2 linked regions of the Mytilus edulis genome follow. The protein of the gene in region 2 interacts with the protein of the main gene of each other region in a pairwise test. Links are inferred from orthologs where the notes say so. Each region holds a gene or a part of one and is shown on either strand. Other genes may lie near its edges. The genes, in order: anamorsin homolog and glutaredoxin-3-like.

Evidence for each region.
Region 1: the proteins of glutaredoxin-3-like (region 2) and anamorsin homolog interact in binary tests that used the Homo sapiens proteins (3 or more experiments, as listed by UniProt). The link is inferred for Mytilus edulis from reciprocal best matches to the Homo sapiens genes GLRX3 and CIAPIN1.

What each region holds. Positions count from the first base shown.
Region 1 is NC_092348.1:975,297-982,664, reverse strand, and holds the start of anamorsin homolog, read left to right. Parts: upstream 1-4,272; 5' UTR 4,273-4,301; exon of another isoform or gene 4,302-4,423; intron 4,424-7,368. Other genes in the region: targeting protein for Xklp2 homolog, read right to left, coding at 345-441, 1,034-1,069, 2,626-2,802, 3,813-3,915. UniProt on the Homo sapiens protein: Component of the cytosolic iron-sulfur (Fe-S) protein assembly (CIA) machinery required for the maturation of extramitochondrial Fe-S proteins.
Region 2 is NC_092347.1:91,572,392-91,579,791, reverse strand, and holds the start of glutaredoxin-3-like, read right to left. Parts: upstream 3,322-7,400; 5' UTR 3,229-3,321; coding exon 3,164-3,228; intron 1-3,163. UniProt on the Homo sapiens protein: Together with BOLA2, acts as a cytosolic iron-sulfur (Fe-S) cluster assembly factor that facilitates [2Fe-2S] cluster insertion into a subset of cytosolic proteins.

The sequences.
Region 1 (7,368 bases), on a different chromosome or scaffold from region 2:
TTTAGATTTTTCTTTATGAAGTGCATTTCTCTCTCTTCTTACAATGTACATTTACTTACGGACAGTTTCTCAGACGAATTGGCAAGAACAAACTGGCCAATGTCATTATTCGAATCAATCAAGAACAATTTTGTTCTTGCATTAGTAAGCACCAATTCAAAAATGTTAAAAAAGTTCACTTAAGATAAGTGCACAGAAATAAATGCAAGTAGCAGAGTTTATAATTTGAAAACTGCATATCTATTAGCGTTATTTAGCTAATTTACAGGTTGCAAACTTGTAGTAATGTGACAAGTATAAAATAAAACTTGACTCAGTGAAGACAATTTAATATTAAAATGTACCTTTTCACTTCAGGCTGTTGGTCTGTTCTGGACTTTGTCCTTTTCTTCCAACCACTCAGTGTACATAAGTTTGATGGCAAGGAATCATTTAGCTTTCCTATAAATATATGCACAGACATATATACATGATATAAGAGAACTGGTTTATCTGTAAAGAGGTGGATGAGACAGTTAACCACTAAAGATGTCAGTATACATCTACAATAGGTAAACATCTTGAAAACATTCCTTTAAAGCAGTGGTGAATATCGTCATAGTAGAAGTTCTCTTATATAGAGAGCATTGATTTCTTTTTTAAATCTGACATGCTGATGGTACATTGTAGTTCTGTGATAGATTCATAACCTACAAACATGTAGTTGCTGGAAACAATCATTTATAATGTTTATGAGGTGAGGGGAATTAAGAGCATATTTTATGGACCTGTCTTTGTTGAAGATTGTATGATGTCCTCATATTAAAATAATTTGGATTATTATAATTCATTTGCTAGCTTAAGAATTGTTAGGTTGTATGAACATGCTGTATTGTCGTTGAGCCTCATTCGTAACCTCACAGTCACATGCCTGAAGTGTCTTGGTAAGTGCATGTGTAGGTTTTTTGCTCACAAGTGCAGTGTTGATACATACAATGACAATCTGCACTATTCTGCAGTCCTGGAATAATAATGCACTAGAATAAATACTCACCTGTTTTTTGTTTTTCTGTTTGATCTTTACTCTCATCTGAAAATATACAGAATACATGCGTTTTATAAATGCAACATGAAGCACATTTAATTTTATGGTAGTCGATTTTTATTTGAATACATATAAAAAATGATACCTATATAAACATTTCTGATAGTTGGGGTGTTAAGGTCAATCTTAGTTGCAAATATTAAATTACCACCAAAAAGAGGTATATTCCCAAGACTAGTTAGTAGGTGATATATATTTTATGATTGTGGTAATCTACAGTTGTATTATAATACATAAAACTATGTTACAATTTTACTGAATGCTGATGGTGCAAAATTGTCTGGCATTGAACTATGAGCTGTTGAACGTATGTATCATGTGTGTATTGTGTATCATTTCCTTTACTATCAATGTCACTTTTCTTGGAAATACATCACTTACATCATGTACATATTCCAGTGATTGGACACCTATTAAGGCATTATATATGTACAAATGTAATCAAATTTTAACCCTTTCAACGCTACACAAAAAAATAGAAAAATGGCTGCTGCTGCTGCATTTTTTTTTTAGTTCATTCATTAGAACAGTATTTTCCTTTTCAGACTGCTGTATCTTTTTTATTATATGAGATACAGAGAAAGTTATTGCATGAAAAATTCTCAGGAGAGCATGAACTGTAATGTTAGGCAATTATTTTACTGAAATTTTTATCAGGTTACCTGCGTTTTCAGGTAATTAACAGGTAAAAGGTGTAATTTATTACATTTGTGTTGAATTTTGAATAAAAACTACTTTTAGTCTTCATTTATTTTGTTGTTTTATCTGCCATATTGTAAAGAAGACACCAGTTGCCCGATTCCGTAGCGTATTGTACCATACATAACGTTTTATGTAATCGTGGCACAAATAAATAGCTCCATCCTAAAAAAATTCAGTCAACCTCCGTTTTCCCCCCTTTTTCTACGTCTCGTAATGATCGATCAAATCATATTTCCCACACGAATTTAATGTAATAAACACTTTGAGATAACAAGAAACCTTTTAACTAATCCTCGTTGTTAGTTTCGCCAAGGAAATGCTGAAATTTTTCCATATTTACAGCTTCGTTTCCGATTTCCGCCATTTGCATTTGTCAAAATATTTGTTTTTATTTACCTTCTATTTTCCTTCTACTGCATGATTTTACTATAAAAATTGTCGGGATTTCAAGCGCAAATGAGACCTTGCATATCCTAGATTCAAACGAGGAAAAATTAGAGAGAACCCGAATGAAAACCGAATGGTTCAAGAGTCCTTATGAAAAATCCTTTTTCATCGCGGCATATGCCGCGAATAGCAGTGGCGAACGGCGTACGTCATCGCGGCATATGCCGTGTATAGCGTTGAAAGGGTTAAGACTTATACATTTTGTTTTTTGAAAAAGAAGATACAACAATGTACTTTTACTACCAGTCTTCAGTGTACCCATACCCGACATGGTAGCGTGGGGTAATGAGAAAAAATGTTTTATATATGGGGTTTATATATTAATTAATATCATTGATGAACATGCTGAAAGTTTCTCACTGCTCACAGCACACTTATATATCTTATATTACCTGAGGCCTCAGGTAGGCCTTTCTCATTTACAGGAGTGTGACACATGGATCTTGTAAGACGTCTAGCCTCTTGCTTAGGTGTACCCTCAAGTTTTTCAATCTCTTGTTCAGCATCCTCAATGACATCCACTCCATTACATATGTCTTCATCATCTTTCTCATTTTCATGATCAACATCTAAAATAAAAATAATTTACCATATAAATATACATGTAGTCATGTAAAAATTATATTTGTTATGTTTGTCATGTTTGTATGGTAAAATAATATGTTGTGGGTATATTTGTTAATGTTTGTAGGCCCCATGGGGACCTAATTTGAAAATTAAAATAAAAAATCCTATCTTATAATCAATTTATGATAAGGCCAAAAATAACAGGTTTCATATAACAAGCTGTAAAATATTAGGGTCAGTAGGTCAGTAGGAAAGCAAATTTTTCATCTTTCAAAAATGCATGATATCACTGGCTGTGTGGACATGGTGGATTCCACTGTTAGTCTTAAAATCATTCAAGGGACGAACGTTGGAATGATTGGTTGAAAATAATACTGAAAAGCGCATGGGACCAACAGACTTACAAGTATTTATTTCTCATAATATAAAAATAAGATGATTAATCTAAATGAATATGAATATAATTTAAATATAAGACATTATTTGATCACATACATGTATCCCAAACTCTTGTCTCACTGTCAAAATGTCAGACAAAAAATCAATCAGTCAGACAGAACTTTTTAAGTTGAATGTTCAAATTTCTATTTCTGTCAAAAAAACCCTAAAACAGTTTGGCACAGATTGAGATTTGGTATGAATAATAAGAATATCTTCATCAGAGACCAAATGACATTGAATAGAAGAGGGACATAATGGGGGTACAGTACGGTAAGAGATTTACTACAGTAAACTTTAGTCTTTAAAATTAAAAATGTCTTCAATTTCCAAATGGCAAGCTAGAGCAACCGATGTTTGACAATATGTTTCTTATGTCTGGGACTGTCAAAATATGGCCTATGCCTATGTAGGAAGTTAAGTTCTTGTAACTTTTTACTAATTGATTTTACACATAATTTGATATTAAGTCAAAGAATGTAATGGCACACAAAATTATAATTTATATCATTTCACATTTGTCACTATTTGGACATATATTGTGTATGCCGATAATGGGTGCTTATTTATTTACCAAACCAACGATCAACATCTTCATCGTCACATGCAGTTGAGAAATCAACAAACTGAGGCGCGTTAAATTCCCAACTACAATCCATATTTTTAGGATCCTCCATTCCTATTTTGATTTTCCTTCAACATTCAATCTACCCGCACTTTCAATTTTGACCAATCAAAATCATACTAAAAAAAAAAGGTGTTGCAGTAAGAAAAAGTCTCTGTGATTGGTCAAATAATTTCCAATCTAGACTGGTATTATCTTTACAAAATACAGGACTATGAGCTAAACAGAAAAATTACAAGAAACCAGTCTAGTTAATTAAAACTTCAAATGAAACAATTATGAATTCAAAGAAAATAAATTACGAAATAATGTTTCTAATAAAGGACTTGAAAAATATATTTCCCTTTTCGAATTTGAATAGATTGCAATTATGTTTCGGACTTCCTGTTCAAGGTGAAGGTCGAAGGTCATTAAGAAGAAAGTAGTAACAAACTGAAAGTAGGTTATTTGTTCTGAATTAATAGTGTTTTTCATTACCCTATGGACAAAGTGGTACATGTATTAAAGAGGTTTAAATTATCGATTTTTTTACCCCTTTATTTTCTATAAATGGCAATCAAGTAAGTTATACTGTTGTTGTTCAGTTCGAATAAGACACCAACGTTTTGACAGTCATACACCTTATCGCTATTCCCGGCTGACCCGTCCGCTTGAACTTTTGACGTCAACAACAATCACTTTTCCATTGTGGCGTCAGACATTTTGTTTTATGACGTCAAAATTTTACGGGAACCTGTGTGATTTCCAGCAATGGCGGACAAATAGCGATAAGGTGTATTATACAACCTTTTATTTGGGAAAAGCTCTTGAAGAAAATTCTAGAATGTGACCTTAATGCTTTTTGTCTATCATTCATTACAAGACATCACTGCCGCAATTTTTAAATTTTGTTGTTACAAGAAAAAATGTCTTGCACCCCAAACAGGGTTCGACAATAACGCTAGCCCAATACTAGTAACTTTTGTGTCGGGCTAGTAAATGTCCGTGGCGCGGTAGCCCAAGGGGCTTGTAAATTTATTTGTGATTGAACATCAATGTGTTGTACTTTCGGCAAAGTACAGTCCAAACCCTGGTCATATCTAACAACTTCGTCCAATATTGTCTACACTGGTTTCGCAATCTCTTTATTTACATACAGATACTGATACTGGAGGGTAAAATTACTACCGTAAACCAGTCGCTATATATAGTAAACTCGGCCTATGATTACTCGGCCCATAAAGTAAGAATGCCCCACGTTTCAAGATAACCCGTTTTGAAATAAACATTAATTATACTGCATATACATTTTGGTTTTATTATATTTTATTATTAATCACATCAGAGATCTTGATAAATCGTGTGCATAGTTTAGCCTTATCTATTACATAGTCGTCGCGTAAATAGTTTAAATTGGAAATGTCCTTTCGTTCTTAAAATAGAGCGTTGAAAGGTTCCCTGTAAGGCTGTTGAAATTTTCCTTTACTCCTTTTCAAAGGTACACGTGGTGATGAAAACTTTTCGATCTTCTCTGTCTTTATCGAATTAGTGTTTGTCATGTCGTCATAATTCTTTTAGTATTGCTCGGGATTTATCATTACAGTTGCAATGGACTGAAACGAAAGTAAATTTCCGGTAATAATATTTATGTGATGAGCTTCTTTTTGAGAGCTGAGGGGTGATGATGATAACAAGACTAAGCCATTGGTATCAGAAAGCGTCCATGGCACGTACCGGGATGTATGCATGTCATAATGTATTAACGAGAACAGGGTTAAAACTCGTCATGAGACAAATCAGTTGGAACATGAAGACTCGCATCAGAAACCAAAAGTAAAATAGGGGACAAGTCAACTTATTTATGTAAATAAAATTAAACAAAAACATTGGTTTTTATACGCCCGTCAAAATTTTGACGGGACGTATTATGGTGTCCGGTGTCTATCCGTCTGTCTGTCCGTCTGTCCGGCGTAAACATGTCACACCGTAACTTGAGAACGACTTATCTAAATTTCATGAAACTTAATATAGTTGTTTTTTATGATGGTCAAATGATCTGTATACTTTTTGGTGAAAATATGATTTAAAATTTTTGAGTTACGGCACTTTGTAACTAAAACATGTCGCACCTTAAACGATTTTTGATTATTGCTTAAAACTTTACACACTTCTTAGTTATATTAATCTTAATATCTGTATACTTTTTGGTGATGATTCAAAATTTCATTTTTGAGTTGTTGAGTATTTTGTAAAAAAGGGGGAGGGGGTTTATACATGTCGTGCCGTATCTCAAAAACGATGTATGATTATTGCTTAAAACTTTACACACTTCTTTGTTATATTAATCTAAAGATCTGTATACTTTTTGGTGATGACTCAAAATTTTATTATTGAGTTCTTGAGTATTTTGTAAAAAAGGGGAGGTTTTTTTTTACATGTCGCGCCGTATCTCAAAAACAATTTATGATTATTGCTTGAAACTGTACACACTTCTTTTTTATATTAATCTAAAGATCTGTATACTTTTTGGTTTGATTCAAAATTTTATTTTAGTGATAATTGTAAAAAAAAAAACAGGGTGGGGGGGGGGGGGGGGGGGGGGGTTCACATGTCCCGCCATGTCTTAAAAACAATAAATGGTTATTGCTTAAAACTTTATCAGAAACTATTTATGATTATTGCATAAAACTTCCACACAAGATGTCGGGCGTATCATGCGCTCATGGCGCAGCTGTTTATTTTTAATTTGATTATTTTAGTTGATGAGTTTTTTGTAAGCAAAAAAAATGTCCCATGAAATTGTATCTTCTTGAACTATATTTCACAATTCATCTGTGAAATTTCGTTCAGGGACAGAATATCACATTTTTAAACTATTTTATAAAATAGTGTCTCCCTTAGTGAAAAATTGTCCCAAGTGCTTGGACATAATTTCATGGATGTTTTATAAAAATATGTCACAAGGGACAATTAATCTTTAATCTAGGAACTATTTTTTTTAAAGTAGGTCTGGAATATACAAATGTTAATGTTTGACTAAAAATGTTAACACAATAAATATTTAAGATATATCATCAATTCATTAACAGTAAAAATGCACAGAACACATCAATAATAGTTCTAGTCTAAGATTACTCCAAACTCCATCAGCAAGCTTGGGCCATGGGACTGCAGAGCTAGTTCCAACAGAAAGTGGATATTGGGAAAACATAAATTCATAAATTCTCCTAAATTCTGTAGTTTTCATTTGTTTCGATGCACAGTACATACGTACATGTACATTTAAGTTTGAACATTTGGGCAATTAAAGGAGTAGGTCCGGTAAGAACCGATTTTGGCCTCAAATTTCAGGTTCATCTGACGAAAGATTTTCACAACTTTTTGAACATTTAAGTGTCTATTTCATTTGAATTAACTAGTTTATGTGAAAATTTTTAACTGATTTAGTCATTAAAAACGATCCGATTCAAGCTCAAATATGAAAAATCTACCAAATATGCCAAAAAATATCACTTTTCAGATGTTT
Region 2 (7,400 bases):
AATGTCCATCAGATATTGATTGAATATTGCAAAGAAATATCTCCTCGACATACAATTGTTCTCATTTATAAAACTGTCTATTTAACGTTTTAAAAACATCAGCAAAAAATATTTATTATTCATTATAAAAAAATATTTACAAAAAATGTGTTTATATTAGCAATCAAACATTGGGACGAAATATTATTGTTAAAATATCATTAATGCATAATTTCTGATGTAAAAAAAATGTCTTTAAAATATTTTTTGGTAAATATTTTTGAAAAACATATATATAACTAGTCAATAATATTATGAAAATATTATGTGTTAGCTGGGTCTATACTTCATATTTTGGCTGAGCCTGACCTCCCTATCAATATAATCAATGTATCAATCATTCATTATATACCTTCATACCTTAAATTTATCTTCGGGTCGTTACATAAGCCAAAGGCTTCTACTGACCCCTCATCTTGGATTGTCGTACATGTATATGATTTCTCATAATAATATATTTATGTATAATATATTAAACTTATCAAAAAATACTTATTTAGGTGTGCGCAGCTGAAACACTTAACATGAACATATGAATTTATATAGGTTTCAATTTTCGCCATTTAAGGTTCATCATACGGAATTGAAAAATATGGCCGTGTTTACACCTCAAAAATTACTACGAGTACAGACAAACTGGTACATCCAGGAAAGTTTTAAGGCATGGCAGGAACTAGATATATAAAAGTTAGGCCACACCAATTTAATTTCTTGTTCTACGGATTTTTGGACTCCAAAATTTGGGGCGAGCGAGCGATTTGAAAATTTTAATAAAAAAATATTTAATTTGCAAATTTTTGAGGCGAAGCTTGAAAAGTGAAGGCGAGCGATTATATTTTTTTTTTGTAAACATAAAATAATAGGTTTTGACAATATTAAAACTTGATTTATCACTTGTACTTTGACATTTCTTTGATTTCTGAAGTATTTTTTCCCTGTTCACCAAGAAATAATTAAATCTGGTCTATGTATGTGTGACTGACAATGAGACAATTCTCCATCCAAATCATAATCAGTTTGGGGGCAACCCCTTAATGTTATAAATATCCCTTTTACATGTTTTTTGAGGGATCAATATAAGTAATAATATATTTGTTTGTACAAAAGGGCTCATATTTTCTCATAGAACTATATATCTATCTGGTATTAAATGGTCAAAACATGTCCAAGAATTTAGTAATATTCCTGGACTTTAACCATGTTAACACATTTCCTTCAACAGTTTAATATTATTCAAAATAAGTGGACCCCTCTTTTAGAAAAATTTATTTAAAATATGATGTAACTCTCCTCTTTTTGAGTACAAAATTCTAAGTGTTCAAAGGTTTTGTATAGAAGAACTATACAAATCCTTGGTATTTCTATTTTCTTTTCTACATCAGTAAAATGACCCCCAATCTAATTAAAAACCGATCTCTCAATGCTCCTGTTTCTGATATGTCGCGTGGGAGATCTAACGAAACCGGCTTTGAGGTCACATGTGAGTGAACTAAAAGTTATGAATTTATAAAGATATGCAAATGAGTTGACGACCTATTAATAAGCCAATCAAACAAGTTTATGAATTATTTTGACTGACGATTTCGTCGTAAATAAAATGAGTTACATCCCTTTGCCTTACGTTAAACTTCCAAGATCGTGGAAGACTCAATTTCATTGGTCGAAAAAGACACACCTACGAGGTCACTCACATGTGACCTCAAAGCGGGTTTCGTTAGATCTCCCACGCGACATATCAGAAACAGGAGCGATGAGAGATCGGTTTTTAATTAGATTGAATGACCCCTTGTCTGAGCTAGGGAGGGTTTTTCTCAACCTGATAATAACAAACACAGGTCAAAGTGCAGCCTTTTACACAGGGCTTTGATACAGACCAAACAGCAAGCTTTAAAGGACTCCAAAATTATTAGCGTACACAATTCGAACAGGAAAACCAACGATCTAATTTATATATCCAAACGGGAAAATACCAATGAACAACATCAACAAACGATAACTGCTGAACATGCTCCTGAATCAATCAGGACAGGTGCATAAACATGCAGCGGCTATGGATAGTTTTGTTTCGCCAGCATACAATATAATTGCAGTTGAAGGAAAATCCTTCAGAAGTTCTTTGTACTTTATTCTAACCACGAACATGTTTTGATAGGGAATATAAGTAAGGGGGAAAGAAACCAATTTTTTGTTCCTCACGGAAATACCCGCTGTTATAACTTTTTATCGGAGCACTCCAGGTTTCATTCTGAAACAAATATTCTCACAGATATTTACACAGTGTGTTGGGGTGCTTTTATGTTTAAAATCGTTATATACAAGTTAGACTGTGATTTAACAAATGTTGATATCTTTTTATAATATTTACACAAAAAAACGGTGCGGGAAATGGACATGATTACAATTCCGGATGCGGGAAGCGGGAATATAAAAAAAATAAAAAAATTCTGTTTTGAAAAAAATAGGTGCGGGCGGGTCCGTCGAACAAGGGATCAAATTGGTGTGGCCTTATATGAAGTCTACGTTTCAGATAATTAAAAACTTACCTGGATTTTGATGTTCATTTTTTTCCAGTCTGCAGAAGATAGCAAAATAAACAAACACCAGAGTTTCATTTGATACGGTCCACTCAGTTACACAGTTTAAACCTGTTAAATCACCTATTGTTTACAGGTGTCTAGTGTCCATCTATTGTCCATTTAAATCAATACTACTCACAACATTGATTATATGAGGGGAGCTTCTCAATCGTTTTCCCTACTTAGTTAATTTTTGCACCTTCTGCAGGAACGAAAAAAAATGGATAGCAAAATTTAGAAAAGTTTATAATTTTCTGAAACATAAAATGCATTTAAAATTTATATATCTAGTTCCTGCCATCCCTTAAAACTGTTGCAGGTGTATATGTTAGTCTGTACTCAGAGTAAAATTTGGGGTGTAAATACGGCCATTTTAGCCAAAAGGTTATGATGAACCTTAATGCAGATTTAAAAAATTAAAATAGCTTTGCCAGACGTCATAATTATTTGGACTACCATTGAACAGCAGTGCATTTTAATATTTCTTTCATTATGTAATTCTTAAGTTTCATTAATATACTGTGTCAGATCATAGTTTATAAGTGTACCTGTCTGAATTATCGAGTAATTCATTAAATTCTTTGACTGAAGATGTTTCCCGAACTTTTGCCATTTTCCTCTGTAATAATGATCTGGTACCCTGATATAATGATACAGGTTTGAGTTAGCAGTGTAGGAATATTTATTACTGGGAACAAGGACAAATAAAGGGAAGTAACAATTTAAATTTAGCAAATTACCAAACGTTACTGTAAAAAAAAAGTCAAGTAAAGAACGCCAAATAAATGACTTCCATTCCAGTACGAATTTATCATATGACAATTTTGATTAATCTTATAAACTGTAACAATTTAAATTCGTAAATCTTAAAAAAACAGTAACGCGTTTTTTTTTTACTCCTGCACCATATGACCTATATTTAATCATGATAAAGGGCATGAGTTTGATAGATACAAGACATGCATAGATGATACAATAAATTAAAATGACACAAGTATATCATTAGACATAGTTTACTGTATAGACAATAAAATGATTTACATGTTTACTAAAAATTATAAATCAAAAAGTAACCAGGTGCTCCGCAGGGCGCAGCTTTATACGACCGCAGAGGTCGAACCCTGACCAGTTGGGGCAAGTATGGACAAAACATTCAAGCGTGATACAGCTCTGAATTTGGATTGTGATCAAATTTTTGACATTACATGGTTTTTTTTACACAAAACAAATGTCAAGATTTTACAAATCAATTAAAGATTTCTTCTTATTTAAATCTAAAATTAAATAGTTGACACAGCATAGGTTTCTGACACAGAATGAATGTGGTCTAATGAACTTAAAAGTTTTTTTTTGCCTTTGAGCAATTGACTATGCTGTTGAATATTAATCCTCTCAAAAAAATGTTTGAAGAAATTTTCTTTTTATTTATGAAATCTGAAATGAGAAAAATTTAACCCCCCCCCCTTTTTTCACATCCCCGTTTCCCTTTTTCCAAAACTGATATCAATTCAAATTTCTAATGGAGTTTGCAACAATAACTACTCTTTTAAATACATCATAAAATATTAAAATGTAAAATAAAGTGCTTGTTATCACTGAATGGTAAAGATTGGTTGGTAGTAAAAGTGAATATACATTGTTTATTGTATAAAACAATAAAAAAAACTTCATCAGCAACATTTTATAATGGCAAATTTCCAATGAAGTTATTTACATAAAGTTATTGGCAAATAAAAATAGAAAATGACATCATAGTCATGTCTGGCAAATTTCCAACATACATTATCTAAAACATTTTAGATAAGATAAGGAAAAAAAGCTTCATCAGCAACATTTTATATTGGCAAATTTCCAATGAAGTTATTTACATAAAGTTATTGGCAAATAAAAATAGAAAATGACATCATAGTCATGTCTGGCAAATTTCCAACATATATTATCAACTACTATTCTATACAAAGAAAGATAACTCCAATTGAAAATTAATTGCTATTGCACAATATTGTGCAATTAGATATTTCTTGCTATTGTGCAATACTGTGCAATTGAAAATTTCTTGCTATTGCACAATACTTGATATGGAATCCTGATTTGGACCAACTTGAAAACTGGGCCCATAATCAAAAATCAAAGTACATATTTAGATAAAGCATATCAAATAAGCCCAAGAATTTAATTTTTGTTAAAATCAAACTTAGTTTAATTTGGACCCTTTGGACCTTAATGTAGACCAATTTGAAAACTGGACCAAAAATTAAGAATCAACATACACAGTTAGATTTGGCATATCAAAGAACCCATTTATTCAATTTTTGAAGAAATCAAACAAAGTTTAATTTTGGACCCCCATTTGGACCAACTTGAAAACTAGGCCAATAATTAAATATCTAAGTACATTTTTAAATTCAGCATATCAAAGAACCCAAAGGATTCAATTTTTGTTAAAATCAAACTAAGTTTAATTTTGGACCCTTTGGACCTTAATGTAAACCAATTTGAAAACGGGACCAAAAATTAAGAATCTACATACATAGTTAGATACGGTATATCAAAGAACCCCAATTATTCAATTTTTGATGAAATCACACAAAGTTCAATTTTGGACCCTTTGGGCCCCTTATTCCTAAACTGTTGGGACCAAAACTCCCAAAATCAAACCCAACCTTCCTTTTATGGTCATAAACCTTGTGTTTAAATTTCATAGATTTCTATTTACTTATACTAAAGTTATGGTGCAAAAACCAAAAATAATGCTTAATAGGGCCCCTTTTTGGCCCCTAATTCATAAACTGTTGTGACCTCAACTCCAAAAATCAATCCCAACCTTCCTTTTGTGGTCATAAACCTTGTGCTAAAATTTCATTGATTTCTATTTACTTATACTAAAGTTATTGTGCGAAAACCAAGGATAATGCTTATTTGGGCCCTTTTTTGGCCCTTAATTCCTAAACTGTTGGAACCAAAACCCCCAAAATCAATCCCAACCTTCCTTTTGTGGTCATAAACCTTGTGTCAAAATTTCATAGATTTCTATTCACTTAAACTAAAGTTATAGTGCGAAAACCAAGAAAATGCTTATTTGGGCCCTTTTTGGCCCCTAATTCCTAAAATGTTGGGACCAAAACTCCCAAAATCAATACCAACCTTCCTTTTGTGGTCATAAACCTTGTGTTAAAATTTCATAGATTTCCATTCACTTTTACTAAAGTTAGAGTGCGAAAACTAAAAGTATTCGGACGCCGGACGACGACGACGACGACGACGACGACGACGACGACGACGACGACGACGACGCCGACGCCAACGTGATAGCAATATACGACGAAAAATTTTTCAAATTTTGCGGTCGTATAAAAATCTAAGTACATTTTTGAATTCAGCATATCAAAGAACTTCAAGATTTCAATTTTTGTTAAAATCAGACTAAGTTTAATTTTGGACCCTTTGGACTTAAGTGTAGACCAATTTGAAAACAGGACCAAAAATGAAGAATCTACATACACAGTTAGATTTGGTATATCAAAGAACCCCATTTATTCAATTTTTGATGAAATCAAACAAAGTTTAATTTTGGACCCCGATTTGGACCAACTTGAAAACTGGGCCAATAATCAAGAATCTAAGTACATTTTTAGATTCAGCATATCAAAGAACCTAACTGATTCATTTTTTGTCAAAATCAAACTAAGTTTAATTTTGGACCCTTTGGACCTTAATGTAGACCAATTTGAAAACGGGACCAAAAGTTAAGAATCTACATACACAGTCATGACAGTTAGATTCAGCATATCAAAGAACCCCAATTATTCAATTTTGATGAAATCAAACAAAAGTTTAATTTTGGACCCTTTGGGCCCCTTATTATATTGGGACCAAAACTCCCAAAATCAAACCCAACCTTTCTTTTATGGTCATAAACCTTGTGTTTAAATTTCATAGATTTCTATTTACTTATACTAACGTTATGGTGCGAAAACCAAGAAAAATGCTTATTTGGGTCCCTTTTTGGCCCCTAATTCCTAAACTGTTGGGACTTAAACTCCCAAAATCAATACCAACCTTCCTTTTGTAGTCATTAACATTGTGTTTAAATTTCATTGATTTCTATTTACTTAAACTAATGTTATTGTGCGAAAACCAAGAATAATGCTTATTTGGGCCCTTTTTTGGCCCCTAATTCCTAAACTGTTGAGACCAAAACTCCCAAAATCAATCCCAACCATTCTTTTGTGGTCATAAACCTTGTGTCAAAATTTCATAGATTTCTATTAACTTAAACTAAAGTTATAGTGCGAAAACCAAGAAAATGCTTATTTGGGCCCTTTTTGGCCCCTAATTCCTAAAGTGTTGGGACCAAAACTCCCAAAATCAATACCAACCTTCCTTTTGTGGTCATAAACCTTGTGTTAAAATTTCATAGATTTCCATTCACTTTTACTAAAGTTAGAGTGCGAAAACTAAAAGTATTCGGACGCCGGACGACGACGACGACGACGACGACGACGACGACGACGACGACGACGCCGACGCCAACGTGATAGCAATATACGACGAAAATTTTTTCAAAATTTGCGGTCGTATAAAAATCAAAAAACAAATTTCTCAAATTCACTCTTTCTGTGATGTAATTGAGCACCTGATTTCACTCCCGGTTTTTAGTGGAGTTCGTGTTGTTTCTTATTTATTATTTAAAACTGTTGATGTAAATGTCTTTTTGTTTTGTGAGTCTTTGTTTACTCCTTGGTTTTGAATGTTACTTTTGTAATATATTTGCTATGTAATAAT